2 linked regions of the Mytilus edulis genome follow. The protein of the gene in region 2 interacts with the protein of the main gene of each other region in a pairwise test. Links are inferred from orthologs where the notes say so. Each region holds a gene or a part of one and is shown on either strand. Other genes may lie near its edges.

Region 1 (16,671 bases), on a different chromosome or scaffold from region 2:
CATTTAATTATGTCTCACTTAATTTATCAACACAGTGTTAAATGTACATGGATAAGTGTGTCAGGTCATCTTACATTTAATTAATATTTCCATGCACTCAGTGGTTTGATACAAAAAAAAACAGAAAAAAATATTTGCACATTAAAAAAAAAAGCACATATTAATCTCAAAAGTTTTGATTTTACCAGAAAAAAATATCATTAGATATCTCCATTAAAATATTAAAAATTCCACAAAAGATCCCAATAGTCAATTTAGATCAATATTCATGCAAAAATTCAAAGAAAACATCGGACTAAGAAAGACAACTCCAACTTATCCAGGGACACAACTTCCTATCTGGTGATTGCATTGTACAGGTAAAAAAATGGCCGCCGCGGAATTTGTCAAACCATTTTTATTCGTATTTATTCTGACTAATAAGCTAGAATTTTGACTCTGGAGTTATTTTTTTCTATAAAACTATGATAAAGGAACACTCGAAATTGTTAATTACCATTTGTATTGTTAATTTAGAAGATCGGAGGCAAAAATATAAACCGGTCACAACAAAAAATAGATTTCTCAAATCAAACGTCATTTTCTTTCCACAAAAGGTTAAAAAAAAATCAAAAGTAGGTATTGTCATGTAAATTTATTTATATTGCAACACTCCTTTCATACTTAAGTGTAACAATATCGAGTTTGAAACCGATTTGATGAGAAACAACAAAGATACACACGTTTTTATTAAAACGTCATTTTTTTCCCATTCACACGTCAAATTAATTCAGGCCAGGCAAACTGCGCGCGGAAATTTGATCAGGTCACACAACGTCGCTAAAAAAAAACAATTCAGTAAGGAAAGTGTTAATGTACTAACATATGGTGACCAAGTACAGAGGTCCTACCAACAAGCTATCGGGTAAAATTATGTTTCAAATTGTCGACACTTCTGAATTAAGAATTGGAAATAACTTGAAAATCAATATTCTATTTAGACACTTTTGCAATGTATTACATGTACATATGAATATTGGACTACACTAGATGATTTCCAAAGTGATCAATTTCTAATTAAACATTTATTCCATGAAAATAATAAATCTTTCATGTATAGTTATCAACAACACACACAAGATAAATATTTGTGGAAAACAATTCTCTCTCAGATTTTAAAGTTCTTCTCTTATTAAAAAAATTGCATAACATTTGAATGTTTAAATTTTATAAAAATAGTCGTGTCCCAGAAAACAGCCAACTGTTGCCATAGTGATCTTTAGATCTGCAACAGTCCCAAGTCTGCAGTCTGAGGTATACTGATATAACACACCAATGACTCAAGCACCTTCGATGGTACAACAATGAAGTTGTTGGACATTGTCACTTCAAGCATCCATGACTTTGTCCCAAAGGTGGATCTAAGGAGTGTGTTTTTAAAATAATCTGCAACTATTTTGGCACAAACTGTTCTTTCTTCACTCATGAAATATCTGAAATCATTTCAGCTTCTGTATATGTTGACTCTTTGGCAATCAAACCACATCTTCTTGTTTTATACCGATCGCAATACACTTCTCGCACAAGTTTAGAGAAAGCAGGAAAACTATTGATTTGTAGCTTGATTTGAAGAATGGGTTTTGCGGATTATAGAATGCCATACAGTGACCTATAGTTGCTAACCTATATAATTCATAACATAAAAATTAACTAATGAATATGATTAGCAAGAAAGAAAGACAATTATTTTGCAAAGAGTAATATTTAATGAGGTTGTTGCAATGCAAGAGTAGTGGAAAACAGCGATTGTCTTTTCTAGAACATGTAAAAGTACTTTACCTTTTTCTAGACTTTTGACATTTCTGCTTGTAAGAGTGATTCTAATTCTGTGAATTGTTGCCTCCTCAGATGCAGGGGCTTTCCCTTCCTTGTATGACTGAAAAAAATAAAACATATTAAAACATGCATGTATTGGTCTCAATTTTCCAAGACAATTTTGATTGGTGGAATCAGCCATTGTTTTTATCGGAAGTGTTTCCGTGGAGTTGAGTTTAGAAAATTTGCACTACGCGCGGGAAACTAACAACACAACAAGAATATTACAGGAAACTCCGAAAGTGACATGTAAACATCAGATCCTCATAGAAACGAAGATGGTGGATTTACAATGGAAAACATTCTGGAAAATGTGAAGGTCAGGATTATTAGTGCGATCACTTTAAAGGTAGGTCAGTAGTGGTTTTCTTTCAACGATTTATGAATGGAATGTGAAATACTATATCTCGAGTGAACGCGATTGATAGTAGATTATTTTTACCGATAACTGCTATGAATTTCAGCTGAAGGCAACTATAGTTTATGTCATTTTCATTATATATATTTCATCTTGTGATTATGATCTATTGTGTAATTTTTTTTAACCTGTTTTTATTGTCACAGCATTTACAACTTTTACTGCAATAAAATTTTCATGTTTAATTAGTAGGGTCGGTCAGCAGTTCTTCCAACTTTACATTGAGCAAATATACAAGATTTGGCCGAAATAATAATAAAATCAAAGGAAAATGCTGCCAAATAAAAATGAACATACTTTTTTTTGGCCCAAGCATTATTTGACAAATCAGAAAATTTTAACCAATTTTACACTTACGACTATTGCAGTAGCCAAAAATTACAGTTTCATGCCTGGTGCTACAGGCCATTCCTACCCTCATGCAAGCAAACCTTGTAAAATACTTTTGTAGTGTATTGTCCATCAATCATTCAATGACAATGATATGAATGGATTCACAACCATCTTTTTATGTAGTCCAAATAATTATGACGTCTTAAAAGCTATTATAATTTTTTTTCTTTGACACCTTACTTCGAAGTAAGGTGTCAAAGAAAAAAATTATAATAGCCTTTCAAGACGTCATAATTATTTGCAGGGTTCGACACTAACGGTAGTCCGGTGCCTCCCTAAAATCTAGGAGGACTACCAAAACATGGTTAATCAGTAGTCCTGTGGACCACCTGGAAATTTGTATATGGTCTGGCTATTTCAATGCTAAAAATTGGCATAAAAGTCCTCCCAATTATGTTTACATTATTCAAAGACAGTGATGACAGTGATGGCATTTGGAAGAACGTAAATTTTATATTGTTATTATGAAAGCACTTTTGATATCCAGATTTCTGATCAGAATCTTCACAGTGTTTGTAACACATGGGATTTTCAATGTAAAATGAAAATGTCTGATAACCAAAATGTGAAGAAACTGCAGAATAGACAGCAAAGGTCAGCAATAAAAACGTAGGTGTCAGAGATAAAAAAAAAATACTTCCCAAATTTGGATAAACAAATTATTACCCCCAAAAAAAGAAATAGGAAGAGTTAGTTTGAAAAAAAGCCAACAATATTTTTGGTGGCTTTCTTATTAAAAAAAAAACCATATATGCATGTCATTCATAATGGTATTAAAGGCATTTTGTTTTAGCAACATATCCACTGAATTGCTTTCAACAGTGATGATGAAGTTGACCTCTAGTTCACAAACAAAGACTTTGTATCACTGTGGTAGTGTGGATTTTTATCATATTAATCATTTATATATTTTATATGTTTTATAGGTTATTCCGACACACCATTAATTATATTCTTTCATTTGCAGAGTAGTTTACTTAAGTTTACCTTTATTCTATTGATTGCCTATTGATTATTCATTGATCCATAAAATCTAACTGTTTACCTTGTAGCATTTACCTATTATTGATTTTTCTATCAGTACTCACTGTTCACTAGAGTGTTTAGGTTTTCTTGTATTCTGATTGGTTTATTAAGCCTTGCCCCCAGTTTTGGTGGTAGTTTTGAAAACAGTAATGGAGGATTGATGTCTTTGTTGTGATCCTGATATATTTGTATGTTTTGATGCACTTTGTGCTCATAGACTTTATATTGTGATTGATTAGTAGCTCCATAATTTCTATGGATTAGTATAGTGATGGAATTCATTCTGGAACAGGACATCATGACTTTATATGAACCATATTTGATGTGAACCTCTGTTACTATTACTGTAGAAGTATGAAGATCGTTACTGTTAGTATTGTGTAGACTGTCGATGTTAGTTATTAAACTCAGTTCCACAGACTGGGTTAATAATAATTCTATGATTACATCATTGTTGAATAAAGAACCCTAGACTAAGATGAAATGGACTTGTTATTATTTGACCGTCCAGAAATCACCTTTTACATCACTACAAGAAAAATCTTATAAACTGTTTGAAGAATTAATGAAAACTTTTGACTTATTTTTATCCTTTTTTTCTAAATAATCCTGGAATAAAAGGTCAAATAACTCCACCTAACAAGGCCTTAGAAATTGTCTCAGATTGCAGATTTTGCATTTCGTTTTTCAAAATTTTCTGATGGTAAAAGTTCAGGAGTAATAAAATTTATTCACTGAATGTCAACTTTAATTTATCTGAAAAAAAAAAAATATTTTCAAAACTCAAATGAACATTTGTGAGCTTTTGAGGTGCTCAGATGGCAGGAAATTGCATATAATTTCGAAAAATTTTCTTGGGGGGGGCATGCCCCCAAACCCCCCTAGCTAGTTCGGGCCGCAACGCGGCCCTCACCGGTGATAGAGGTGGACTACCAGGACTACCCCAAATTTTTCCTTGGTAGTCCTGTGGACTACATCACTAGGTACAGAAAGTGTTTTTTTTTTTAAATCAACTGATCTAAGAAAACTTTACCTCATTTTAAAGGCATTGTGAAGACATTTTCAAAACAGTTTCACTTTTATCAATATACATAATAACAACGAAGAAATAGAATATTTTCAAAATGGAAATTTTTACTATTCTGGAAAAACTGTTTCCTCTCTTTAAAAATAATAAAATATATTTTTTTAATCATTTTGGTTATAGTTTTGTTTATATTGCTTCTTTTACATCTTGTTAGTCAATTTCAATCCTCCATATTAAGTTTTTTGGTCAAAATAGAAGCCTAAAGCATGAAAATGTCAACCACTCTCATGAAATTCTATCGTCCAAAGTCACGTAACATGACGGTACCTTTATATATTCCTTTTTTCAGAGCATCAGTTGGTATATTGAAAATGTAAAGTAAAACTTTATAAACATTTGAATGTAAAGAAACAAAATATAAATATGAATATTACTCTTTATATACAAATGTAAATGTTTAATTGTGTGTGTGTGTATAAAAAAGAAGATGTGGTATGATTGCCAATGAGACAACTCTCCACAAGAGACCAAATGGCACAGAAATAAATAACTATAGGTCACCGTACGGCCTTCAATAATGAACAAAGCCCATACCGCATAGTCAGCTATAAAAGGCCCCGAAATGACAAATGTAAAACAATTCAAACGAGAAAACTAGGCCTAATTTATGTACAACAAATGAACGAAAAACAAATATTTAACACATCAACAAACGACAACCACTGAATTACAGGCTCCGATCCTGACTTTGGACAGGCACATACATACAGAATGTGGTGGGGTTAAACATGTTAGCAGGCACCCAATCCTTCCCCTGACCTGTCACAGTACAACATAAGAACGAACTATAAAAATCAGTTGTACCATGAGAGTCAGTTGTACCATGAGAGACAAGAATTGTTTTGAAATATGTCATCTTTGTATTGTCATGATAGTATTAGAATGTTCCCTTTTCATTAACATTCTATTTAATGAAATATTCTTATTCTTATATACAATGTAGCATGTATATTAAATGCTTATAAATAAAAATAAACAACAATCTTTTACATTTTTAACAATTATTCTACAGGACTAAAATACCTGTTGCACTGAAAAACAATGAAAATAATAGAACATTATTATTATTCGAGAAATTTCAAACAAAATAATTATGTCAGATCACTGTAAATACTTATATGTATAAAAGTAAAGTAAATTCATATCTGTATATCAGTTACAATATTTATACAGTGAAATCTGTAAACCAATCTCATTCAGGACTGAAGTTCAAAATGCATTGAATGTGAATAGCATTCGAAGTTAACTGCCGCTACTGCATGGATTTCTATGTATGTTTTTAGTTGAACATGTTGAAACTACATACATTGATTGTTGTTAAACCACATTATTCATTATCCTTATTATCTCGTGTGCAATAGCAAGTGTTTGAACTATCTTTGAATCACAATAAACTGGCTGTATTATAATGCCAAAAAAACCTATCGCCGCTGATTTCCAATCAAAACTAAACCAAAAGTTGGTCATGCAAGGGAAATAACTCTGTATACACAAAAAGAAGGGTTATTTATAAAAAAATAATTTTGATATGAACACAGCTATCTAGATTTATTTATTGGACCTAATTATTTAATTAATATATTAAACTTAATAAATAAATACATTTTATGGCTGTATAAAGTTCCCTTGTATTTTTTTGAAACAAATGTAACTTTCAAACCCTTGTTTGTACCTCAAATATTTCATCGTATTCCCGAAAATTATAATATACAAAATCATGTATATTCATATAATATCTATCAAAAGCAATCAGAACCTTCTGAGTCTTACCAAGTTAATAGAAGGCCGTAATCGGAGGTCACCCAAAGATTTTAATTTTTCACACATCTGGGAACAATTATTTAGGTTAATTTGGAGTTATCTCCCATTGGTTTGCCATACCTAACATCACCTCTAATGTTAGTGTCAAACCCTGATTTGGACTACTTTTTATGTTAATTTTACAAATATTTTTTTTTCCAATCACGCCACCAAAAAATAACAGCAGAATAATTATAATCATTAATTATTAACATATTGATATGAAACAAAAAGTATAAAAAAAAAATTTGTTTTGATTTAAATGAAACAAGAAATACATATATATACCTATGGTAGTCAAAATAATTATGACGTCTTACTAAGGCATAAAGAAAAAAATTATAATAGAATTTCAAGACGTCATAATTATTTGGACTAATACCTATGGATACCTATGTAGGGATATATCATATAGCCATTTATAATTATAGGTATAATTTTGTGTCAAGTCAGAGAAAGTATGGTGAATTCAACCAACATCTTCATACTTTCAGCGATCATTTATCATTCATATTGTAATATATATAACATTCTGAAAACTGAATAGTAGTACCATTTTCTGGCCGACTTAATTAAAGAATCTTTAAACAGAGGTGAGCCAAACACTTCCAGCTACCAGGCAGTTTTTCAGAAAAGAAAGCACATGGTTGTTGGGGTAGTTGATTAATTAATAATGGGGAAATATTATTTTTACCATCTGATGTCTATTGATTCAACAAATACATTTTGTATTCCCTTTAAACGTATCTTATAATCTTTCATAAAAATAATGATATCGTAATGTGAAGTTGACTGGTCAATACAAAAATTAAAATTATCTAAAATTTTCACTGTCTTATTTCCCCATTTTAGACTTGGAACAATCTGTATAGTTTCGGATTAATAAAAGTGAAACTGGAGTTAAATGTTGATTGACGTTTAATCATATATACGTATATGAAATATTTGCAAACAGAAAATGGTATTCAAAATTTACGTGTAAAATAAATTTTTAAGTTTATATTTTTTTTATCAAAATAAAGGGGAAGTGACGTTATGATTCCACGTTTAGCAGGCAAAATGGCGACGAAAATGACACTTCTTCTTGTCGGCGTAAGACTTCCATTAAAATTATTCCGGAAAAACTCCTTGCACACATATTATCTTCATATCAATACTCTCATTACTTTGATGCTTTATAACAATGACTTTTTGCATTGGTGGGCGCTTATGCACGACAAATCCTATCACCTGTTTTGACAAAACATCATTCATTATGATCCGGTTTCTAAGTTACATATCTATAATAGTAAAATTACGAGGTCCAATTTGTCAGCCGTCATCACGTAAAAACGACGGATCAAAGAATTCAACTTTATATATAACTAATATAGTACTAAGGTGTAGATTAAAAATTACACCACTCCAGGCCCTTTTGTTTTCCCACGTAATTAATATTGCCAATAATTAAGAAGTTCCGGGTCGAGTCCGATACCAATAGTATATTCACCTGTTACCTATTACCTTATCTGTACGTTCCGCATCTGACAGGCGCACCAACAAACGGTGTATTCAGGATTAATATGCTATATATGCGGGTCATAATCACAGGGTTGACACTACTAAATTGTCCAATTGTTACCTTTTGTAGTATTTTAATCAGTATGACTTTCTAAGATAACAATACGAATACTAAAAATCTGGACTAAAAATAAGGCGTATAGGTACAGTTTTCAATTTGTTAGCGGGCATGACGTAAAACAGCGAATCAAAGAATTCAACTTTATTTATAACTAATATAGGACAATGCTGTTGATTAAAAAATACTCCATTCCAGGACCTTTTGTTTTTCAAATGATTAATATTACCAATAATTGATTAAAGTTCCAGTTCGACGGGTTCAAACAGAAAGATTTGAAAGCATAGAAAACTGTGTATCTTATAATCAGCATGACTTTATCAGATGACAATACTAATACTCAAATAATGCTTGTGCATAGTTATATACTTTAATTCAGTCACGGACCCGCAATATCACGGGTGTGTTCTAGTTTTATATAAAGATTGAGCTTGTCTTCTTCATTTATCTTCTGTTTATTTACACGGTAGAGTTGATAAAAAAAACTCAACATGAAAGCTTATTTTGATTTTGGATTAAAGTTTGCAGTGGTAAAATATCATTCAAACGAATATCTGATCGCATGATTCATTGTAAAATTGTTTTAAGTTCATCAAGTGTCTTCACGATTGTTATTATGCAGATAGTGTTGTTTTGTCAATTTCATAATGACAGCAAGTCTAATTAAAAATTATGTGGGTATGAATACCATTTTCAGTCGGTAATTTTCAGCTATTTTTTTGCATCACATTAGCTAAATTTTAACATCAGGTGGCCAAATATCCTAATTATGATTATAATGCCAATAAGAAGCCACTGAAAATAGTAAAACACACTACTGTCAAGAGAAAAGGAAATCACAGATACTTCCAGAAAATGTTTATAACATACCATAATGTATGCAGGGATCTCCATGGCCTGTTTAACGATGGCGCCCCGCCATCGTTCAAATTTCTTGCGCCATTGTCAAATGACTTGCGCCATCGTTCAAATGTCTTGCGCCATCGTTCAAATGTCTTGCGCCATCGTTCAAAACTGTGATCGTTTTTATAGCCTGATGCCATTTTTTTAGCAATTATAATCAAATGCATGTAATTGCATAACCTTCAGGCTTTCTTTATAGTATAATCCAGTTCTAACACCTGAGGGATATCTGAATTAAGATCGCTAATCACTTGTACCTAAGCTTGTACAGGTAGATCAAACAAAGCAGACAGGAGAATATTATCTGAAGATAGACGATTCATTTGTCAAATTATTTAATTAAGTTTCCGCAAATGCTTATGATAATTCAGATTAAATAAATAAATTATTAGTCCAGTTACAAAGTTTAACAAGTAGAACACATGCTTTTATTTTGACTTACGCAATCAGCATCCCCCTTTTTAAGAAGTACAAAATAAGACGTAAAATAGTCATTATTATTTCATCGCAAATAACTCGAGTTTTGCTGTACTGTAACAAAAATATAGAATTACTTTAAAAGTTGAAAAGTAAAAACTTTTAATATTTCCTGTAAATAAATATCGTATCGTAATTCCGAATTCATTTCGTAGTTTACAATCAAATTGATACATCCGCGTTTCCGGTTTCTATTCAGACTCGAAAGATGCATGTTGAATAGCATCTATTTGCTAGATAAGTCATTAAAAACCTTTTCATTTGACAACGTTGCTTTACAAATCTTTTTAACCTTTTACATAACCCGTATGACTCGTTTTGTCGTTGCTGCAAACCAGCCATACCGGTAATGGGTTCATGAATTCTGAATTTGACAATGTCCGTGAAAAATAAGCTCCACATGAATTTTAACCCCATAACAATTACCAAAAATAGCAAGAAAACTACATGGGGACCTTTGTGATAGCTATTGGTCATTCTCGACTAAGGGAAAGGGAGGGGGCCTTTGAAGAATTACAAACGGCAATTATTGAAAATATATATACTTTTATATAGTATTTATAATGAAAATTCAAATAAATATAATTTAAATAAGCAATGAATTAGCATCTTCACCTATCCTTATGTGGAGGAATGAATTACTTTCAATCGCGCTACGCTGTACGGCGTAGATACAGTTTATGATGGTGAAAGTTCCTCCATCGTTCAATTTTCATCCATGGAGATCCCTGGTATAACAAGTTCAAAATTTTAGTAACTTGTTAATTAGCTGGCAAGTAGGATTTCAATTTGGCGAGTTCCAAGAAAAAAAGGTTTCACACACTGCCTTACTGATATCACTAAAAATTAAATGTCGTTATGGAGGTTTGTTTAAATTAAAAATAAAAAGCGCGAAAACGGTCAGTACCACATGTTTTCAAAAAGTCAAATTTTGGTAATTTGTGTTGCATTGAATAAATAAAATATGATCGTAACAGAAAATTAAAAAAAATTGTACATATTGGCGTCGGAAGACATTAATTTGTAACTGCCTGCTTGACATCTTATGTATTTTAGACAATTTGTTATTAGGACGACTTCCATGACTGGTTACCGTTAATTTTATGAAGAAGTGGTACCAGCACTTTTCATTTCATTTCAGAAGTGTACACATAATTTTTACAATCAATTCATTAGTCCCACACATTGTTATATGGCTTCACTGTTGAGGTGGTTAGATAGTGCAAGACCTGGAAATGCACCAAAAAGGCCGTTTCACATGTCTGACCGAGTTACAGAGGCTCAGAAAAAGTATGAGAATAAACGCGTCCGAGAATTAAAAACCGGTTGGACATACGGTCGTCCCTGGCTCCAGTACAAGAATCAAGCAATGTTCTGTAGCTACTGTAAGGAGCATGGAAAAGGGCCAGGCATTTATGAAGGAAAAATTGTAACCTATTGATACAAACTTTCTTCTTTTCTTGGTCTGCATCAGAAAGGATGATCTTTTTAACTTTCAAAAGTTAAATAATTTGAATGAGAAATTAATTTAAACTAAAATATGATGGCAAGGGGTTTATATCTACATGTTTGTCTGAAATTCAAAGAAAAGAGTCTTAAACCGTCTTGTAAACAGTTTTGAGAAGGTTTTTATTGAAGGAAAGTAGAATTTTTTATATTACAATACATGGAGAAAAAAACTACATTTTTGACAAGTTATACATGTTATATACACTTCCAGATACAAAAGTGTAACCTCAGAATGCAGGATTTTACATCTAATCCAAATTTTTTCGATGGGAGGCATGCCCCCAAACCCCTCTAGGGCCAAAATTAAAAGATTGTATGTTTGCCCAAACGCGACCGACCCAAAATAAACCCGCCGACTCAAATTCTTTTTTTGACGTTTTTTGGAAGAATTTTTTTTTTTCAGATTTATATTGGGTCCACTCCGTCATCGTACAAAACTTAATGTTTGTCGTCTTTGCGTTTGAAAGTAATTGTGAATAAGATTAAAAGAAAGCATATAAGAGACGCAGTTAATCGATATTCGATGTTCTCTGTATTTATCTTCTGATTTAACGAACGTAAAGAAGTAAAACAAGTGAAGTGGCACAGTTTTTTTACGCTGTAGTTGTTTGTACTACCAAACCCTTAGCTATATGCTCAATGTTAATTTCATCGTGTTATCGAATATCTGATAAGAATATTCAGGTAGATTTGTTCAAAACCATGTGCAATCGAATATTTTCAATGTTATTCTGACAGGAAATGGATCCGGAAGTTGCGAATTTACAATCTTGCAAGATTTTGTTTTTATTGAATAAAAAGGAATTATTTCTTGATAAATTCTTCCTTTATCATGTAAATTAGATGCCCTTTTATTCAAATAGTTCAAATTTACAAGTCTCGTTAGACAGTCAGTACGTTGCAGTTTGGGAGAATTTGATAAAACTATAATTGCTCACAGAATCAGAAATATAATCTTAACTGATTGTAACTCCTTCTGAATAATTTATTGCAATATAAATATAAATCCCTTTTGACAAGAGAAATCTGACTTTTGTCAGAAATATTTTTTCACATGTGCAAATTATGGACGCCATATTGGATTTTTATACAATTTGTGAGGAAGCCTCTAGAACCATGTCCTAAAAATAAAGTCTTCAGAAAACGTTAACTTTATGCAATTATATTTTATCAATAATGATTATTTTCAAAAATTTAAACTTGATTATTTAAAGAAATAAAATTATAACAAATACGTTTTTAGTTTGGAGATTCTACAGAACATGTTTTGATCTATTTATAGCCAAATTAGTTTACCTGTGTGATAATGTAAAATATAAAAAAAAATTTAAAACATAATAAAGACACAAACTAAGAATTCATATAAATATTTTATAACATTTAATCTATTTTAATAGAAATAGGATTTAAAAAACTGCAAACAAATTTAATCATTACATAATGGTAGATACATAATCAGCTGATATTTTTTTTACACAAACATCGTGTTGATGGAACTGTTGAAAATCACTTCACAAATCCAACAGCCCTTTCACACAGTTAGCAACTGTCAGGGTTATAAACATTTCAGGATACAAATCATATAGTAAACTAATTTATTTATAGAGGTTTTAAATTCATGGCTTTTGGCTGTCTCTATAAAGGTTTGACAGAGAAAAAAAAGATATACTGTTTTAAGATCTTTTAATATTATCATGCAAATTCAGAAAAAAAAAAAAAAAAAAAAAAGAATTTGCCTACCTACCTACCCACACCCAGTCATCATGGGTCGGGTTTGGGCAAACTGAAATATTTTTAATTGTGGCCTAGTTGGTTCAGATCACTTGGTGATCCTCACCGGTGACACAACTTTTATTCGGTCTAGTACATATAACTTTGGGCTAGTATTTTTTTTTTAACTAGCCCATAGGGCTTGTGCTTTCAAATTGTTTGGGTACAGACTGATGTAGATGCCCATAAACACATAAAAGATGTTATTGAGACAAAAAATTATGACTGAATTGCAATGAACTCTTAAAGTGGTCAATTTTCTATTTCCAATTTACAGATTATCAGATACATGTTTCTTCAGTGCTTATTCAACAAACTATAGACATTTTTACACTTGTATGCAAATTTGTACATCATTTCTTAAAATCACACAAGTTCCCATAAAATTTGACATCACAATTTAAAAAATCTGACATCATAATTAGAATTTAATTGTTGCTTGCTGTCAGAAGATTATTCAGAGCAGATCTTAGGTCATTTGGAGACCAAATCCAGCTATATACCAAAGTATCAATATGTTTATTTGGCTCACAACTTGGTTGATGAAAAATGATAATGACAGATTCACACTCTGTAAAATTATTTTGTTCTAATTCCAGGTTGTTATCATGGCTACTTACTGTAATGGATTCTATGTACCAGGAGTAGCACCTGTAGAATTTAACAGAGAAGAAGCAGTAGAAGTTAGGGTAAGACATTCTTAACAGTATGAATATAAAGATTCTAAAACCATTCTTTCCTGTGGGATACCTTATTACAGTGGAGAAACCCAAATTTCATTTATTAAACTCACTACTAATAAAGAATTGAAACATTTTGTTATATTTCACCTCAGGATGCCTATTTACCAGTCTTTAATATTTTTTGTTCAAAATGTGGTAAATAATTTATTACCTCTGCTGCAATTATTCATGTCATTAAAAACCATTAAAAAGTTTGGGGAAACAAAAAAAAGCCTTGGATTAAAAGACAATAACAATCAAAACCAAGGAGTAAACAAAGACTAACAAAACCAAGGGACATTTACATCAACAGTTATAAATAATAAATAAGAAACAACATGAACTCCACTAAAAACTGGGAGTGAAATCAGGTGCTCTGGAAGGGTAAGCATTTCCTGCAACGTATACGGCACCTGCCGTGTTATTTCTTTGTTCAGTTCAGTAATGATGGAAGGTTATTATGACTGAGGAAGAATATCAGATATGATTTCTGACACACTTTTGTCATAATGGCCGATAACAGTTTTATGATGAAATTTTAAGTGGTTTGTTTTGACTCTAAAATGACTCAAATTGTTTCATTTTCTTAGCTTCTGTTCAATATTAACTTATGAACAATAGTTTTATCCCCATAAAAGTATCTGTCTGTCCAAAATGTCTTGCATGCACTTTTTCATTACAAATGGATGGGCTAAATGATTATTGATGACACTATTAATTGTAAAACACTACCTTGGGGCCAAAATAAAAAGATTGTATGTTTGCCCAAACGCGACCGACCCAAAATAAACCCGCCGACTCAAATTCTTTTTTTGACGTTTTTTGGAAGAATTTTTTTTTTTCGGATTTTTTTTGGGTCCGCTCCGTCATCGTACAAAACTTAATGTTTGTCGTCTTTGCGTTTGAAAGTAATTGTGAATAAGATTAAAAGAAAGCATATAAGAGACGCAGTTAATCGATATTCGATGTTCTCTGTATTTATCTTCTGATTTAACGAACGTAAAGAAGTAAAACAAGTGAAGTGGCACAGTTTTTTTACGCTGTAGTTGTTTGTACTACCAAACCCTTACCTATATGCTCAATGTTAATTTCATCGTGTTATCGAATATCTGATAAGAATATTCAGGTAGATTTGTTCAAAACCATGTGCAATCAAATATTTTCAATGTTATTCTGACAGGAAATGGATCCGGAAGTTGCGAATTTACAATCTTGCAAGAAGATTTTGTTTTTACTGAATAAAAAGGAATTATTTCTTGTTAAATTGTTGTCTTTAATTATAATCTTCCTTTATGGTGTAAATTAGATGTCCTTTTATTCAAATAGTTCAAATTTACAAGTCTCATTAGACAGTCAGTACGTTGCTGTTTGGGAGAATTTGATAAAACTATAATTGCTCACAGAATCGGAAATATAATCTTAACTGAATGTAACTCCTTCTGAATAATTTATTGCAATATAAATATAAATCCCTTTTGACAAGAGAAATCTGACTTTTGTCAAATATTTTTTCACATGTGCAAAAGTAAAAACATGTTATGGACGCCATATTGGATTTTTATACAATTTGTGAGGAAGCCCCTAGAACCATGACCTAAAAATAAAGTCTTCAGAAAACGTTAACTTTATGCAAGGACGTATATTAGTTGTTACGTCCTTGCTTTATGCAATTAAATTTTATCAATAATGATTATTTTCAAAAATTTAAACTTGATTATTTAAAGAAATAAAATTATAAAAATACGTTTTTAGTTTAGAGATTCTACAGAACATGCTTTGATCTATTTATAGCCAAATTAGTTTACCTGTGTGATAATGTAAAATATAAATTTGTTTTCAAAACATAAAAAAGACACAAACTAAGGATGGTAGATAATAATTCATATAAATATTTTAGGACATTTAATCTATTTTAATAGAAATAGGATTTAAAAACTGCAAACTAATTTAATCATTACATAATCAGCTTAATTTTTTTTTACACAAACATCGTGTTGATGGAACTGTTGAAAATCACTTAACAAATCCAACAGCCCTTTCACACAGTTAGCAATTGTCAGGGTTATAAACATCTCAGGAAACAAATCATATAGTAGACTAATTTATTTATAGAGGTTTTAAATTCATGGCTATTGGTTGTCTCTACAAAGGTTTGACAGAGAAAAAAAGATATACTGTTTTAAGATCTTTTAATATTTTCATGCAAATTCGGATAAAAAAAAAAAAAGAATTTGCCTACCTACCTACCCACACCCAGTCATCATGGGTCGGGTTTGGGCAAACTGAAATATTTTTAATTGTGGCCTGGGCTGTTCATAGTCATGATACATGAATATAATCCTCATCCTACATGACATAGGGAAGGTATTCAAACTAACTTACTTACATTATAATTGTAATATGTTGTATAAAACTAATAGTATTGCTGGATGGGGATATCTGTTTGTGAGAACACTCGCACTTTTAGTTTAATAAAACTATTTTTCACTATAATGATATTGATTTTAATTTGCAGGCTGTCAAAATGACCAGTGTAAAAACACAGCTGCCCTTTGACTACTATTCATCACCATTCTGTGTACCTATAGGCGGAAAAGACTATAAAGCAGAAAATCTAGGTAAAAGTCATATATACATGTACATAAGCATATGATTTGTAGTATAATTCAGTGAACATATTTCATTATGAAAAAATACATTTTAACAACCTGTATTGTAGGTCAAATAATGGTTATGAAAAAAAAGGTAAATTGTCATCTCAGATTGTCAGATAAACTAACATGACTATAGCTATTAAACAAAGTTTTAAGTACACTCTGTTTTGTTGATTTCATGGGTATAGGTAAACCACTTATTAAATTTTCAACAAAATTCCGAAAAAAACCCAAAATCAAATATTTACAATAAAACAATGCTTCTTTAATCCAAAAATTAGTAATGTACCCATGAAAATGTATGCCTCTACAAAAAATGATGTATACATTGATCAGCTTAGAGGAAGGAAATCACACAAAATCGGGAAATGCAAATTGTAGAGAAAAATATTTAGTAATCTTTGATAGGGTTTTCCTGTCTTCCGAATGAAAACATTAAA
Region 2 (16,260 bases):
TGTTATTTTCATGTTATTTTCAAAGTCAACACAGTGTTCTCCCCAGAAATTTTGGATAGCATCACATTTTGCGTAAAAAAATAACTGCATTTTTTTTTAATGTCATTTGTCGCGTCGCGTTGATGCTCTATTTCCTTTATATGTTTTAGTTTATATTGTTCAATTGATAACTGAGAATACAATTAAACTATAACAACAAAAACAGTTGTTTCAGTTTATGTTTTCTTTATTCATTTATAGTTACAGAATTATTTTTTTGCTCTTGTGTCAAATAAAAATAAATATGTGCTTTCAGTTACCCAACAATAAGTCAAATGAATGAATGGTTCATTATAGTGCAACCTGTATATATACAAAACTGAATATCTAGTACACAAAATTAACTATTTTTTTATATTATATTAAGTTAAGATAAAGTAGCAAAAAAAATATCAATTTAAAAACTTTTTTTTATCATGTTTATGAAATTCATTGTTTCATGGCACTGAATGAATTAGTCCCTGTTGTTTCTTATCTTTACATCAAAATGATACGTATTTTTAACAAAGTTATCTAACAAATAGTCTATTAATGCGTAGTTTTCTCTATTGGTATATCTTTTCTGTCTACCGTCCTTCTGTTGTCATTATCGTGAAAATGCGGATTTTTGTCGTATCTGGTCCGGTTCCGATCCGTAGTTTACACAAAAATGTGCAATGGCGGCCATAGAAAAATATACGAAAATGAGTCCGAGAATAAACAGTTTGACTAGAGATTGTGAATGAATAAGACGCCTTTAATGCATTAAATGAATTAAACATAAACTTAAGCCAATCATGATCACTTTTTAAAGAAGTATGTATAAAACTTATTTTAGCTGAAAACCGAAAACGACCTTTTAACAAAAAAAATAAATCGTTTTACTCTTTGAAATTTCGTAATACAAAACACAGATTTCGAATTGTTTTTGTGATTGCATTTTTCCATGTCGAAATTGGTGATTGCAGACACGTGGTATTAGTCATGTCACAAGTGTCAGCTTGGGATATTCGCATCAAAACAGTTATCACCATCAGGGCAATTAACACCTGGCTATTTAATCTCTTAATTGCCTTTAAAGTCCGACTTAAAGGGATTACAATTACAGGTGATATAATTTTTATGATCATAATCGATAATAGATGAAAGTTCAAAATTGAGGACAAGTTAAATAGCAACTTCAAAATAATTATAGCGTCGCAGGAATAATTATAGCGTCACGGGTATAATTATAGCGTTGCGGGGAATTATTATAGCATCACAGTGAAAATTATATGTACCGCGACGCTAAAACGGCCTGGGGAGAACACTGTCAACAGATTATTTTTAAGACAAATAGAGTTATTTGGATCAAAAGTCACAAAAATTGGCAAGTCTGAACAGATACTAGATTAATACTGCACCTTGCACAAGTTATGTAGTTTTCTTGACAAGTATTACATCATTTTGCAACTTGAATATCCAAGCATATATATTTCAATGATGTATTTCTGGGAATGTTCAATGATCCAATGATTAAAATGTTATGATCAATGCACTATATTTTGTGGATTCCTAAAGTAGTGATAAACCATGGAGGATTTAGAAATAAAGTCAGTACCATGCAATCTTTACCCAAAAATCAAACTGACCGTGTATATTTTCTCTACTAACTCCTCGGCTGTCATTGGTTGATTTAGTTCTTTCAGACAATGTAAAATCTGTTGTTCTCTGTTCATCCTGTGAGCTATGTATTCTTTTAATTTGTCAGTAGGATCATTGATCACTGAACCGTGAGAAGGGTAGATTACTGATGGGTTCAGTTCAAGTATTTTCGATAGAGATCCCATGTAGGTCTGTAGATCTTCAAATACCTATAAATAGATATTTATTTAATTTAGGTTCTTGTTAATCTAGGTACTTCTACTATTTATTGGATAACAAAGATTCAAAAGTTGGCAAAAATTATTTGTATAATATGTGACATTCCAAACTTCACTTATTTCACACTTAAATAAATTCAGTTACAAGTATTTCATCCATAAAATCTAAGATTGATATCCAAAAAGTTTGAAGATACATAAGCTATTCCAATTTGAATGAAATTACTAAACTTGACTGACAAATGTGCATGGTACCCTTAACTACCTTAATTTCTGATTATAAAATACTGGTACCCTTAACATTATCTTATCAGCATCTGATATGATGCATATCGATAGTATCAACGTTACATAAAATTGTTTTACCTTTTCAATTGATTTCATTCACATGAGGCTAACAGAGAAAGGCAATCAATTTCACTATATTGATTGTTGCTTTATTTTCCTCTATAGATAAATTATAACGCAGAATTCGTCTATAAGGGTGTATAATTACAGTATGCAGGTCTAAATGAAATAGACTTTATGCTTTTACAGGTGATACCTTCTGCGTAAAACTAGTATAGGCAGTTGTTTTTAACTCACAAAGACATAATTCCAGGGAAAACCTTATAAGAGATAATTCAACTAAAACCATCTGTTATCTGTTTTTCAAAATATTAAACTTAACAGTATACATACTCTCAAGAAAATAGGCCCTTTTATTGTTAGAAAATAAATTAAACAAGATGCAATTCTCCTGTCATTCATTGTTATTATACATACTGCAGTTGTCTCCCCTAGTATGGTATCACCAGAAAACACAGCATTCTCTTCCTCAAGGTACAGCGCCATGTGTTCTTCAGTATGACCTGGTGTATGTATAGCTCTGAAATACATAAATTAACTTTCAGTTTTAAATCATCATAATTCATTCTCTAATATAATACACTTCTTTGCAAACAAAACAAATCTGTTGAATGGACATAAATCAAGAAATGCATATACATGACAAATCCATGCATTATTGATAACTTCATATCTATTCTAAGAGTAATATTATTTTTTTTAACTTTCACAATTATTTTTTACATTTGCAGTAAAGGATCAAAATGACAATAAAACAAGCCTTTTCGTTCAACAACTTGTAATTGGCCAATTAAAGCTTTATTAACCTTAAACTGTGTTTTGTTTGCAGATAATAGTAATCCCAATTAAATTGAGCATCATTTATTTCTTGACCATGGGGATTAAGATCTTTACATGTTTGTACAAATGTATAGTACGGACACTTGCCTATTCAATATTGGCAGGGTCGTAGCCAGGAATTTCCAAAGGGGGGTTATTTGGCCTCAAAAACTCGACTTTAACAGTCACAATTCGAACAGAACGTTGACTTTAACAGTCATTAATTGTTTTCAAGGGGGGGTTCTTCCGAACCCCCCCTGGCTACAGGTATGATTGTTGATTGATTTTTTGGCACTTCAAGCACTTTTGGCTATATGTTATGGACAGGAGCCAGTTTTCATTGGTGGAGGAAGAAGTAGAGTCCATGAAGAACCACAAACTTTTGGCAGATCAGTAGCAATCATTAAGTCACAAATAAGGTTTGAGTCGTACACACCTGCCACTAGCATGAATCAGTATCATTGTTGAAGGTAGCATGTTAAAGTAGAGAGGTCTTTGTTGGTTTAATTGTGATATTTGGCTGCAGCACCGTTAAACCCACATCTCATTTCGTGTATAGCAATGACCAATATACTTGCATTGAGGTGAGAGTTGTTTTACTCCTAGATGATGGCCTCACTGTGACTTTGAAATGAAGAACAGCAATGAAAATGCTGTTTCTTTTCATTTTTTTTTTGCTATGTATGAACTGATTTTGTGTCAAGACATGACAGATACTTCATATCCTTTGTTTTTTCTATTATATACCTCAACACACAACCAACACACCTTAAAGTAGCCCCCTCTGTTTTAAACACTGTGTTGTTTTCCACAAATGTATACTTTGCTGGAGAGATGTCTAGATCCTGTTGAGATAATCTTTGGAATTTTGATACAATGGTCTCTTGAGCTGTGAATATAAAATAAAAAGACACATATTACTCAATAATAGGGTGGATGGATGGAGTGGTGTTTCAAGTCCTGCTGTAAATATTGCATGCATTCAAGGACAAGATCATGTATAGTGTAGTCAATCAGGGGTAATGTTTGGTTTAGTCTAAACATATTTCATATTGTTCAAAATGGACAAATGGATTAGACACACGTTTTTCAACTTTGTAACATCTTTTCCAAAATACCTATACATATTTATTTACTTAAAGATACAAGTAATGTTCTGGTCAGAGACCACAATTATTTCGTAGTGCATTTCTTTTAGAACATAAATGAAATATAAAAAATCCCACCTGCGCTTTCTCAATTAAATTTTTACAGTGTGTTGTACTACTTTTGGGACAAATTATATCAAAATTATAGAAAACTTCATCAGCTCTAACTCAAAATATGGACAATTTTATATTTAGGGCGTCTTGAAATCTTTTGACAGCTTCCAAAGTGCTAATTTTTAACCTTTTTCAGCTGGACCAAATCACTACTTTCCTTTAAAATTCTGGACCCAAATTTTTTTACAGTGTAATTTCACCTCCCTACTTGCAATTTGAGGCATAAAACATGGAGAAATAAATTTGGAAGGGGTATAAAAAACATTGGCAAGTAACCCACTGTCAACACTAGGGACTATATTCGTGAACAACGAAAATCAAAGGACGACAATTGTGGTCTCGGACCTTCTCTTACATAAGTAAACTACGATATGATTTTATTTTCAAGCTTTGAATAATCTCCTTTGATCTCCACCAAAATTAACTTATATATACAAGTTATTTGTTTTTACAACACCTTAATATCCACCTTTATCTCAAAAACTCAGCAAGGAAAGCTATTAAACATGTAGATAATAATTAATTGTGCAAAGTCTTGAAAATTGCTTGCTAAAGGCATGTAAAAGAGTTTTTTTTTTTTTTAAATGACCTACTAATATGACATTTTTATTGTTAACATGGTTGATGGAATTATACATTTTATAAATAGCAATGACAATTATACACTGACTGTATACTAGAGCAATGTAGTCAAAATAAGACATTCTTATTTACATTTTGGTTAAAAATAAAATCTTTATGTCTTTTAAAGGGATATAACTCTACACCTCCAAAATAATGTATCTGCATGTAACAGTAAATCAAAAAACATTTGAACAAAGATTAATCCTGACTGACAACTAGTACATTGTTGTAGCTGTAAATTAACCTAGTTAATTTTTACTTTGATATCCTTACTTGCTTCAAATCGTTCTTGTTTTTTTCACTTTCCCAGAACCGTAACTGATCCAGAAATGTTCATAAAAGAGGTAAGGTTGCGCTCCAGTCATGATTCAGTGATTCCCTATATAAATAACCAAATTTTCGCCTCAGAAAAAGGTGCTGCCACCTGAAAACCCTCTAAATCCACCTCTTCAGAAGGCATGTATTATATATTTATTATTTTCTTTTTTTAGAGATTAAATATAACATTTGTATAATAATTACATTTTGTGACTTGGTTACATACATCAGGAACACTACCACAATGGTCAGCATGCCAATGAGTTATAATTATTTCCTGTATGCCACATTTGTGTTGTGATAGGACATTCTGTAAATTCTTGATGTAATCAGGTGTTCCTGTGTCTGTGGTATCCAACAATATTCTCCTAAAATTATATATATAAAATCAAATGTATGTGATGAGGGATATGTAAACGAGACAAAAATATTACAAAGATATAATATAAAGATCAACATATACAGTCAGGGGACTTATTGAAATAAGTGATTTTTAAATCACTTATTTGAGTAGCAAATTCGAAGTTTTGTCACAAAACGTGATTTTGTAGTTTTAGTAAAAAAAAATTAACACATAGGTTTAAATAATATCTTTTCATTAGTAAAATGAAAAAAAAAAACTTTTTGCTTCTTTTTAGTAGTAAGGTTATGCCTTTGATGCTGTCATTTAGCTGCAAATTCTATTTTAGTTGAAACAAGACTTAGAGGCTGTCACAACGACAGCAAACCGGATTTATTAACATTTAATTTTGTGTCCTGGCAATATCACAAGAACCATAACTGATGAACGGTGAAAGTGAAAATCGTCAATGTCAAATTTGACCTCAATTCTGTCATCAGTATCAACATATTAAAATTTGAAAAGCTTAGGTTGAATGGTTCATGTGTAAATGCAACAATATGAATTAGTGGGGGTCATCAAAATAGTGATACTTATTCAAGAAGTGAATTTTGGGAGGGAAATTGCATGAGATATGATACTTAAACAAGTCATTTTTATCTCACTATCCTAGATTCAGTACAAGGTCATCACCTGACATGACCTGGTCATCCTATCAGTGCAGATGTTGGTTCTGATAAGTTTATAAACATATTTAGTCCCTGGATCAGTATTGTATATTTAAAGCTACATGTACATGTACATAAAATTAAATCACTTCTTCTAGTAATTAATTTGTACTACTTAAATAGGTGATTATTAGAGAAAGACAACTCTCACTTCCAACTTTTATGGAAATAATATTACTTGAATCAGTGATTTAGAAAATCACTCATTTAGGTAAGTCCCCTTACTGATATATATGCTTTGCTGAAAAGGATCAATTCTATTTTCTGTTTTAATAACCTTTCATGATCCTCCTGAATGGAAATGCTTCTGTGGTAATAATTATAATTGGCATAAATTTTATAAATTAATATACATGTTAAATAGAACCATTTTGGTTTTTTGGGGGGTTAAGGTTGCAATAAACAGTTAGGAAAAAATACTAAAATTTGCCCTCATAAATTTTACCATCCCCTTTTCATTGCTTTCTTGCAAAATTAGTTACATGTATATATAAGCTTGTAAACTGTTTGTGTTATATATGTGCATACATGTATGTAGTCAGAATCCTTCATAGATTTTATATCCAGAATATAAAATGGTAAAATATAATTTCTTTTGGGTGTATCCATGGCAACAATCTGCATTTATTTGCTATAAAATATTGCAAAAAGGGGGAAAGATGTCACATATATATATCTCCCCAAAATTTGGCTAAAAGTAGAATTTCAATCGCTTAAAGTAATACCTTTTCTTAAACTGTGTACATATATCATTCAGTAAATCCAATGAAAATCATATGTCTTTCATCTCATTTTTTTGTAAAATTGCATCAGAAACTTCGTGTAGAAAAAAAATGTTTGTAAATATTACATTAGTTTCTGAACCGATGGCCAGTCTTAAGCTATGAAAATATGGATTGTCATACAGAAAATAGCCCATTAAACGTGTAAAAAATAATTTTAATGCTCTTATAAACCATCTTTGAAGGCTAAGTTAGTACTCAGCTGTCTGAAAATGAATTTTATTACACAATTACATTCCTATTTGAAAAATCCACCAGGGCCAATGCAAACTAAACTCCTAACAGTGTATTGCTACCTAATATCTTCTTGTGTTGAATCTGAGCCTACTACAACACATTAATTTATAGCAGTCTTAGGTTGAATATATGGTAAACGGACAGAAAGTCACAGGACAAAAAGTCACAAATTTGGTAGGACAAAAAGTCACAAATTTGGTAGGACAAAAAGTCACAGGACAAAAAGTCACAAATAATCTGTTGACAATTGTTTGAATATATAAGAGAAATATCTTGCAAAATTTACTTTTTAATACATATATTTATATTAAAGTTTAGGGAATGTGTCATTATACTTGCAAAATGAAGATTTATTTGATGTTAATCATACAAAAGAAAGATTTCTTGGCACCATGAAGCCATTGAAGTGCCAAGCCACTTTGACATTTTGTTTTTTTAACAATTATTTGTTCATCTTTGATATTTTTTTGATAAATTTTGTTTACAAAGTTGGTTTTTATACAATAGTTAAAGAAAATACAAAAATATTTTGTTAAAAATAAGCTTTTTTTATTCATGTTATTCAAAGAAAATAATCAGAAAAAATGCATTTTGACTTTTTGTCCTGTGACTTTTTGTCCGTGACTTTTTGTCTGTGACTATTTGTCTGTGACTTTTTGTCCTGTGACTTTCTGTCCTACATTCTATATATACACACAACTATTTGCCACTGTACATTAAAAGAGACATTCTGAGTTCACACACCTAGGTTCAAATATCATCATGTGCTAGCCCAAGACTCAACTTCAACATGTTCTAGATGTCAGATGTAGAACATCTTTAGGCTAAAGCCAATACTCAGTACTATAGTATAGCCTAGATAAATTATATAATTTTGATGATGATTTTAATATTTGATCATCACTGACATCAAACTGAGTGTAATATTTTATTGAAATTTCACCTGTCACCTTTACCAATCAAGTAGGAATTTGTGCCTTGTAAAGTCATTGGTCTTGCATTGCATCCTAATATTCTGATTACACGTTCTGACAGTTTTTCTATTTGAGGAAGTGGAGCTAATTTCACTGAAGATGCCATTCTTCTATATTTTTTGTTAGATCACATGACAGTCATGTGACCTGGCATTTTGGGTTAAGAATGTATGCTTTGTTGAATGATTTGCTGGTTTAACTAAAAATAAAAATACTATACTAAAATTAATCTTTATTGAGGAAATAGAAAAATAATCAGACAAGGTCGGCATATTGTCGGAAACTTAAAAAATCAATTTAACGTTTGAAAGATGGCACATTGTGGCTAGAGAAAAAGCTTTTCATTGAACACGAACGACTTTCCTGATTTACTTCCGGACAAGACGAAAACATCAGAACTTTCATTGTTTTCACTTTAAAACTTTTTTCCATGAATCCAGACGGATAGTAGACAATTTATTCTTTAAAATGAGTAATCAAAGGTGAGTATCATATATAATTTTACTTCATCAGGTCTGTGATTTCTGAAGAAGATAATAAAACCATCCTTAAAATGATGCTGTCACAAACTAAAAAATAAATAAATAAAACAAATCACTTCAAACAGATACACACACACAGATCCTGTTACATTTTTTCTTCAGAAGTTTCAAGTTAGCATTGTTCTCACTAAGGCGACCCCATGAGTCCTAGACTTATCAAAATCTGTCTGGACTCACCATTTTCAAAACTTGTGAGTCCACAGACAGTGATCTGGAAGGTTTTTTTCACTATGGGCCCAGGGCCCCTCAAAAATAAATTCAATGGGCCATTTTAAAAAATAATGGGCCATGTTGTCAAATGAGTGGGCCATTTGAATTGACCTCTGTAAAAAAAATAAAAAGTATCATTATTTTTTGCCAAAGAGGTGTTGTAACTTATCTTTATGATTTTAAATAATATCATGGATATTGTTCCTGTGATTCTGTAATTTTAATGAATATACAATAACTTCTTGCAAAACGGACAATATTAAAGATAACCTTTATTTACAATGTTTAAACTGGTACTGTTGCCTTGACTTGTTCATGTTTATGTTGGGTTTTTTTTAACAATAAATTTGGGTCTTCGTCGATATCATACTTATTCCAGGCGTTCCGTATTAGAAGACATTTCAGGCACTTCCTCTGCACTTCTTGTATTATTATTATTACTTTATCACGACGACAAGAATAACAGTAGAGAGTACCATTAGTTGATAGAACAAAACAATAATTCGCTGAAGTCATGTTTACAAAATGTCAAAACGAGCCAAAGACCAAAAAACGGCAAGGACAGTTAAGCGCCTTTTATGGAGACAAAAACTATATTCATAAAAAGGCTTCGGGGGTTTTCAATCGAAATAATACAAGGCCGTAACTACCCTTGAGGCAAGTGAGGCAATTGCCTCACTAAAATTTCGACACTGATTAATTTTTTTATACATATATACAAATAAAATAGTCTTTTGTTGTTCTGTCTCAACCTTAATTTCTATAACTTTTCATCATTCCTTTAAACTATTCTTCCTGGATATAACTCAGCATCTCAACGGGTGATGTTTCTCAATTACATTAACCTAGTAACGATAATCATCATGGATCTCTGGTTAAAAACAGGCTCTTGCAGAAAAAGGAAAAGCGACACTGAAGGTAAAGAAGGAATAATTCTAGTAAACTAATTTGTTTGTGAACGTAGTCTGCGTATTGCATATAACTTCATTAGAACAATCAAAAAACGATAAGTAGACTGACAAATCAAGTAGTCGGCATCGCAAGGGGGCAGTCCTGTCTGTGTATTCATTTCTCCGTTTCATCAACTTTAATCTTTCTCTTTACAGATAAATAAAATATAAATAATATGAAACATGCATGGATTAGTTTTTCATGATCCATGTTTCTTTAACCTTAAAAATTGAAAGAACATCCCATATTCCAATTTGACATTATTGAGGAATGGTATAGAACCTTTATCACAGGATTTTGTCTTTACTTATTCGGGACTACGGAATTTCATTTCTTTATATTCGGGGTTTCGGAATCAGACACCCCCAACCCCTAACCCCTAAATTTATAGATTCTGGAACTAAAATACCACCGACTATTTCCAGAAATAATTTGAAATTACGGACCTACATGTAAACGTCAAAACTCCATTTTAATTCCCCTGTACCCATATCATATATACTTACTCTATAGATAGATCATATACATGTATCTTATCCCATTCTATCCCTAGTTTGTTTACTCTTTGTCAGCATACAAGCGAGTTTAATATTTTGTAACTGAGACTGTATGATGATGCTAGCCTTTATAGGAAAGCTTAATTCCCTTTTGCAAACAAAACTGTTACTACCGATGCTGCTACCGAATTGCTGATGGAGAAGGAATTGGAAGAAGACATTGATCATTGTGTTGATGATAATGTGCTACCTTTAGAAACACAGACTGCCCTGAAACGACTGAAATCTAGGAAAAGAGCATACATGAGTGGCGAGAGGTTGTGCGGTCTTGCCATGCTCCATGTTCATCGCGATAAGGATATCAGCAGACCAAAGTTATGATTCTAAAACAATTTGACTGAACCCACCATAGAAATAATTGGCAAACTCTACTGAATCGATGTTTGTTCTATGTTCTGGCGGCAGATTTAAATTGATATTTGGATGATTATCTTACATACAAATTCAAATAAAGTTGTTAAAAATTTGGTATTAGTAAAAGTCTTTAAATATGAACAATTTATATAAAAACTGTCCAAATTCAAAACATTATCAAACTCTCTAAAAATGCCTAGAACGCAGGATTTTGCACCATTCATTCATACCCTCCAAAAAAATTTAACGCCTCGCTTCGCTCGGCTCAATTATTTTGCCTCACTAAAATAAGATGCCTAGTTACGGCCTTGTAATAGCAAGCTAAACTAAATTAAAAGATTATCATTAGAGTTAAATCTCGTCTGTAATAGCCAAATTTCACAAATTTAAAGTTCTTTACAAAAAATTGTATCATGAATGATGGTTAATTACGTTTTTTGGGATATCAGTTAAACTGCATGGTTCTATTATTACCATAGGAAAACACCTGAGACGTTAAACTTCATGGTTCTATTACCATAGGAAAACAACCGAGACGTCCCAAAAATGTATATAGGTGCTCCTATGATTGGAGGAACATTATACAGTTGTGTACACACACATGGCGGCATGCAAACGATCGGAAATCCATTTGACGATATCTAAACGTTTCGAAACGATGTGAAAAATATCGTGCGCCACGTGGGCGCTTACATTTGTCACTCTATGCGCCATTTCTGGTCAATATGCGCTATAGGCGCAGGGCGCACGACCTTCCCGATCACTGCACAGACACAGATGCATCAAGATTGAAATATTTTATAATATGAGGCAGGCATTACCTGTGAAAGGGGACGAAGTCTATGATTTTTTTTTAATTCAAACACATCTTAATTTCAAAACGGAAATACCGTAACGTTTCCGATTTTGGTTCTGTTGTGAGGGATTTTAGTTGTGACGTTATTTTAGTTATGACGTCATATGCAATGTAAACAAAGAAACGCTATCATTAGGTAACGTTTTTTCATATCAAGAAATTATTTAAAATGAAATTGATATTGCGTTTCTTCCTATTCTATACTGGACTGATAAATATGTATTTTACTCAAAATTTCATGCAAACGAGACCGGAAAAAAGGAAGTACATTGTAGATTTCTGCGCAGATGCAGGAATTCAAAACATGACATAAAAAAAAATTGAACGATTTTGAGTTCATTAGTACCCCAAATTTTCCCGATTTTTTTTTTTATTGAATTTTCTACTGTTATTGGGGACTTCGTCCCCATATAAACTGAGCACAGTTAAACAGAAATATCTAAATGGACTCGCCTTAAAAATTCCTTAGCGAGAACCCTGAGTTAGCATGATGTCTCAGTCCAATTTCAGTCCTCTTGTGCTCGTTAGCAGCTTAGAGCTCTGCCTTTATGGCTTTAGATCCAAAGATTGAGGGTTAGATGTTTGGACAGGGTATGGTCATGAGGTTTGACCAGGTCATAAGATGACCGTCACATGTCTAGGTGATAGGCAAGGAACTGGACAGGGTTTCCAAGTGTAATACTTGGGGTTGTACAGTGGTGGACCTGTGAGCTGCTTGGATGGTAGTCCAAATGATAATGACGTCTTGCAAGGCTACATGTATATTAATCATTTTCTGAGGCATCCCTGAAAAAAATTAAGCCTTGCAAGACGTCATAATTATTTGAAATACTTGGATGGATGGTACACAGCCCTGAAAAAGAAAACGAGAAGAGTGTTGTAGACCTCAAGATATAAAGGTAGCCTCTAACAGGGCCTCCGGGTGTGGGAGTTTCTCGCTGCATTGAAGACCCATTGGTGAACTTCGGCTTATGTCTGTCCTATGGTCTGGTTGTTGTCTCTTTGACACATTCCCCATTTCCATTCTCAATTTTAGTTGAGCCAAAGAAGATCTTCCCTAGATTACAGTCCTTATATGAAAAGGAAAAGAGGCCTAATACATGTAGGTCATTTGATCAAAATGGCAAGAGGGGTGCCCATGGTTGGTTTACAACATGGACAACAACAGGATGACCTGCACTATATGGCTGCATTTCACATGGAAAACGTAGTATCAGTGACAATCTAAAAGTAAAAATAAACATCTCTTCTGTGGTCAGGTAGTTGAGCTTGAACCTGTGCAAACTAATAACCAACCAACGAGTCTGTATATAATTATGAACAACCTCAGATACTTCCAAGCTTTAGCTACTGTTACTAGTTTTAGTAAGGATGTTCAGGAAATAAGCATCGAGGACTTGTCTGATAGTAATTCTTGTACTTTAAATTCAGAAATTATTGCAAGGTTTTTATTATTGGAAAATTGTGACAGGGTTATGTTATAATCCCAATAATCTTAAATCTCATTTCGATTTGTTTATATGAATCACACAGGATTTTTCTCAATGTTGCAATAATTAAATTGCATTTTATTCTAAAATGACAAAATCGCAATAACAAACATGATAAATGCACACATAATTCCTGAATTTATAGTACATGTATATCATCATGTAGGGATAATGATTGAGACTATGAGTTAGATTTCGAATTTGACCAAAATGAACCAACCAATGATCATGATGATTATCTTGTGTCAAAAGTACACCTGAGAGGAATTACTTTTGGATCATCATTTTTGTATTAATATAACAGTCAATGACAGTAAACTACGATGTTTGTGAATATGAATAACATATTACAATATAATTTAACCAAATAAAAATGAATTGTTCAAATGACAAAATGAAAGAGTCATTTTATTTTTGAGTGAAAATAAAGGTCTAGTCAACATTTGTTGGGTCCGGCAAAACTTTTATAATATATTGTAATTACTATTGTTGTATATTGTAGTGAGCTGACCAAACTAAGTGATGAAAGTTTAGCCAAACCACCTGATGAAGTATTTGATATTATTTGTAAAATAGGAAGAGGGTAGGAATATATAGCAATTATATAAACTACTTAAATGTGTCAATAAACTAAACATGCTAAAGATTGGGCCACACTTAATAATATTGTGGTTTGTCCAAACTCTACCCAAACATTGAGAAAGTGGGTAGGTACATACATGACATATGTAGGTAGGCATTTTCTTTTTTTTTTTTTTGGCAGAGAGAAATGTAAGCACTAGACATGTTAAATGGGTACAAGTCTTCATGTCTATCTGAATAAAAAAAAGATTTTGAGTACACAGCTACAATGTATTTTCTGGGTAGGTCAATGTAGAGGGGGGATAGGACCTTTATCGGGACTCCGGGATCGGGTGTTTTAAAACTCGGGATTTCGGGATCCGGGAATCCTTTTTTTTGGATTTCAGGATGTCGGGATTTGCTTTATTTAAATTCGGAACCTCGGGATTTCGTTTTTTTTTAAGTCCGGGATTTCGGGATCAAGACCCCTCCTATCCCCCCTCGTCAATGTAGGTAGGGTAAGGGAAAACACACCTATTCTTCTTTATGTCCTTGATTGTAATTGTTGGCTGAACGTCTAGTGGTAAATAGATATAGGAAGGTGTGGTATGAGGGCTAATGAGACAACTCTCCATTCAAGTAACAATTCATAAAAAGTAAACTATTATTTATATATAATTATTATAGTTCAAGCTACGATCTTCAACATGGAGTCTTGGCTCACCCTAAACAGCAAGCTATAAAGCGTCCCAAAAAATTACTATAGTAAAACCATTCAAACAGGAAAACCAACATTTTGTGAAAATATGTTATTCTATACATGATATATATATTCCAGACGAGAACAAATTGAACATTTATTTCAAATAGGTACCTTTCGCAAAATTCAACGAAGGGAATTCTTAAGTGTTCTTTTTGTAATAGCATGAATACATAGAATAGGCACTCCAAAAAATTGAAATTGAATATATCTTATAAATTTATTTGATGCATGGGTCTTTTAACAATTTGAATCAAAAGTTAGTTTAGATGAATAATGAATTTGACATTGTTTTGATGTGTTGTAACTTGTAGAACTTGTACAAATGTTATTTGTGTGCCTTTTTCCTGTACATATATAATTACTTAGCATGACAGCTCAATCTTCAATTTTAATTTTGATCGTCTATTAAAAAGAAACAACACATTTTAAGTTTCAAAGCTTTCATTGATGTCTTTAGGTGTTATAGTGTTCAAATTAGGAATGACTTCATTTTGTGTGTATATATAACAAAGAAGATGTTGTATATATGATTGCCAATGAGACAACTCTCCACAAGAGACCAAATGACACAGGTTTTTAAGAACTATAGGTCACTGTATGGCCTTTAACAATGAACAAAGCCTGCAAAGTCAGCTGATTAAAGCCCTCAAAAAGACAAATGGTAAACAATTCGAACGAGAAAACTAATTATACTTTGTTTTGTAACAGGTCTTATGGCAGTGTGTATAAAGCCCTCCATAAAGAATCCGGTCAGGTTCTGGCCATCAAACAGGTACCAGTGGATACTGATCTACAGGAAATCATTAAAGAAATATCCATAATGCAACAGTGTGATAGTCCATACATAGTTAAATATTATGGAAGTTATTTCAAAAACACAGACTTATGGGTAAGTTTTTGCAGAGTTTGTCATGTTATAATCTTCAAGATTTGAAAATCAAAAGACTCAACCCTGCACTTTGCTTAAAGACACCAAATAAAAAACAGTTAGAATATATTACCGGTAAGTAGGTATATGAATTTAGGCCACAATTAAAAAAAATTTGGTTTGCCCAAACCCTACCCAAAGGTTGAGACAGTGGGTAAGTAGGTAGGCATTTTCTTTTTTTTTTTCAAAAAGAGAAATTGAAGTATCGGGTGTTTATTAGTCTTCATGCCTATCTGATTAAAAAAAACTTCTTCAAATCAGGACAATAAAAGAATTTGAGTAGGCTGCTTTTTTCTGGGTAGGTAGCGTTTGGGCAAACAAACCTATTCTTTTTTATGGCCAAATTTGGTTTGAGTGCCAATAAGACAACTCTCAATCCAAGTCACAATTTGTAAAAGAAAACCATAACGGGTCAAAGTTCATGAAGTACAGTCTTCAACATGGACTGGAGCATTGGCACATACCCAACATCAATCTGAAGAGAGTGGTAAAATAGATTTTAAAAAGATATAAAACAATTTTATCAGAAAACAAGAAAATGATGAGCTGCAGACTTTCAAGACTACAGTTACCATGGTTACCTCTAAATTTCCATTTTAAGTATTTGATTTGTTTGGTTACAATTGTACTTTTACCCTAAATTTTCTCTGTATTCATTTTTAGCACTATATTTTTGTTAGAATGAGGACTTTTATAAGACATGTGTGACTTGCATGCAAAATTCAGATTTAGTTGG

What was found.
Region 1: the proteins of serine/threonine-protein kinase 3-like (region 2) and small ribosomal subunit protein uS10 interact in a two-hybrid assay, tested with the Drosophila melanogaster proteins (2 studies listed by BioGRID). The link is inferred for Mytilus edulis from reciprocal best matches to the Drosophila melanogaster genes hpo and RpS20.

Annotation. Positions count from the first base shown.
Region 1 is NC_092344.1:106,804,407-106,821,077, forward strand, and holds the start of small ribosomal subunit protein uS10, read right to left. Parts: upstream 7,294-16,671; 5' UTR 7,276-7,293; coding exon 7,273-7,275; exon of another isoform or gene 7,135-7,272; coding exon of another isoform or gene 7,132-7,134; intron 1,916-7,131; coding exon 1,819-1,915; intron 1,415-1,818; exon of another isoform or gene 1,220-1,414; intron 1-1,219. Other genes in the region: transmembrane 9 superfamily member 4-like, read left to right, coding at 7,614-7,670, 13,455-13,544, 16,093-16,195.
Region 2 is NC_092355.1:58,082,220-58,098,479, reverse strand, and holds the start of serine/threonine-protein kinase 3-like, read left to right. Parts: upstream 1-8,650; 5' UTR 8,651-8,780; coding exon 8,781-8,794; intron 8,795-13,774; coding exon 13,775-13,855; intron 13,856-15,304; coding exon 15,305-15,485; intron 15,486-16,260. Other genes in the region: endoribonuclease LACTB2-like, read right to left, coding at 1,650-1,871, 2,646-2,748, 3,816-3,936, 5,456-5,619, 8,282-8,418. UniProt on the Drosophila melanogaster protein: Plays a key role in the Hippo/SWH (Sav/Wts/Hpo) signaling pathway, a signaling pathway that plays a pivotal role in organ size control and tumor suppression by restricting proliferation and promoting apoptosis.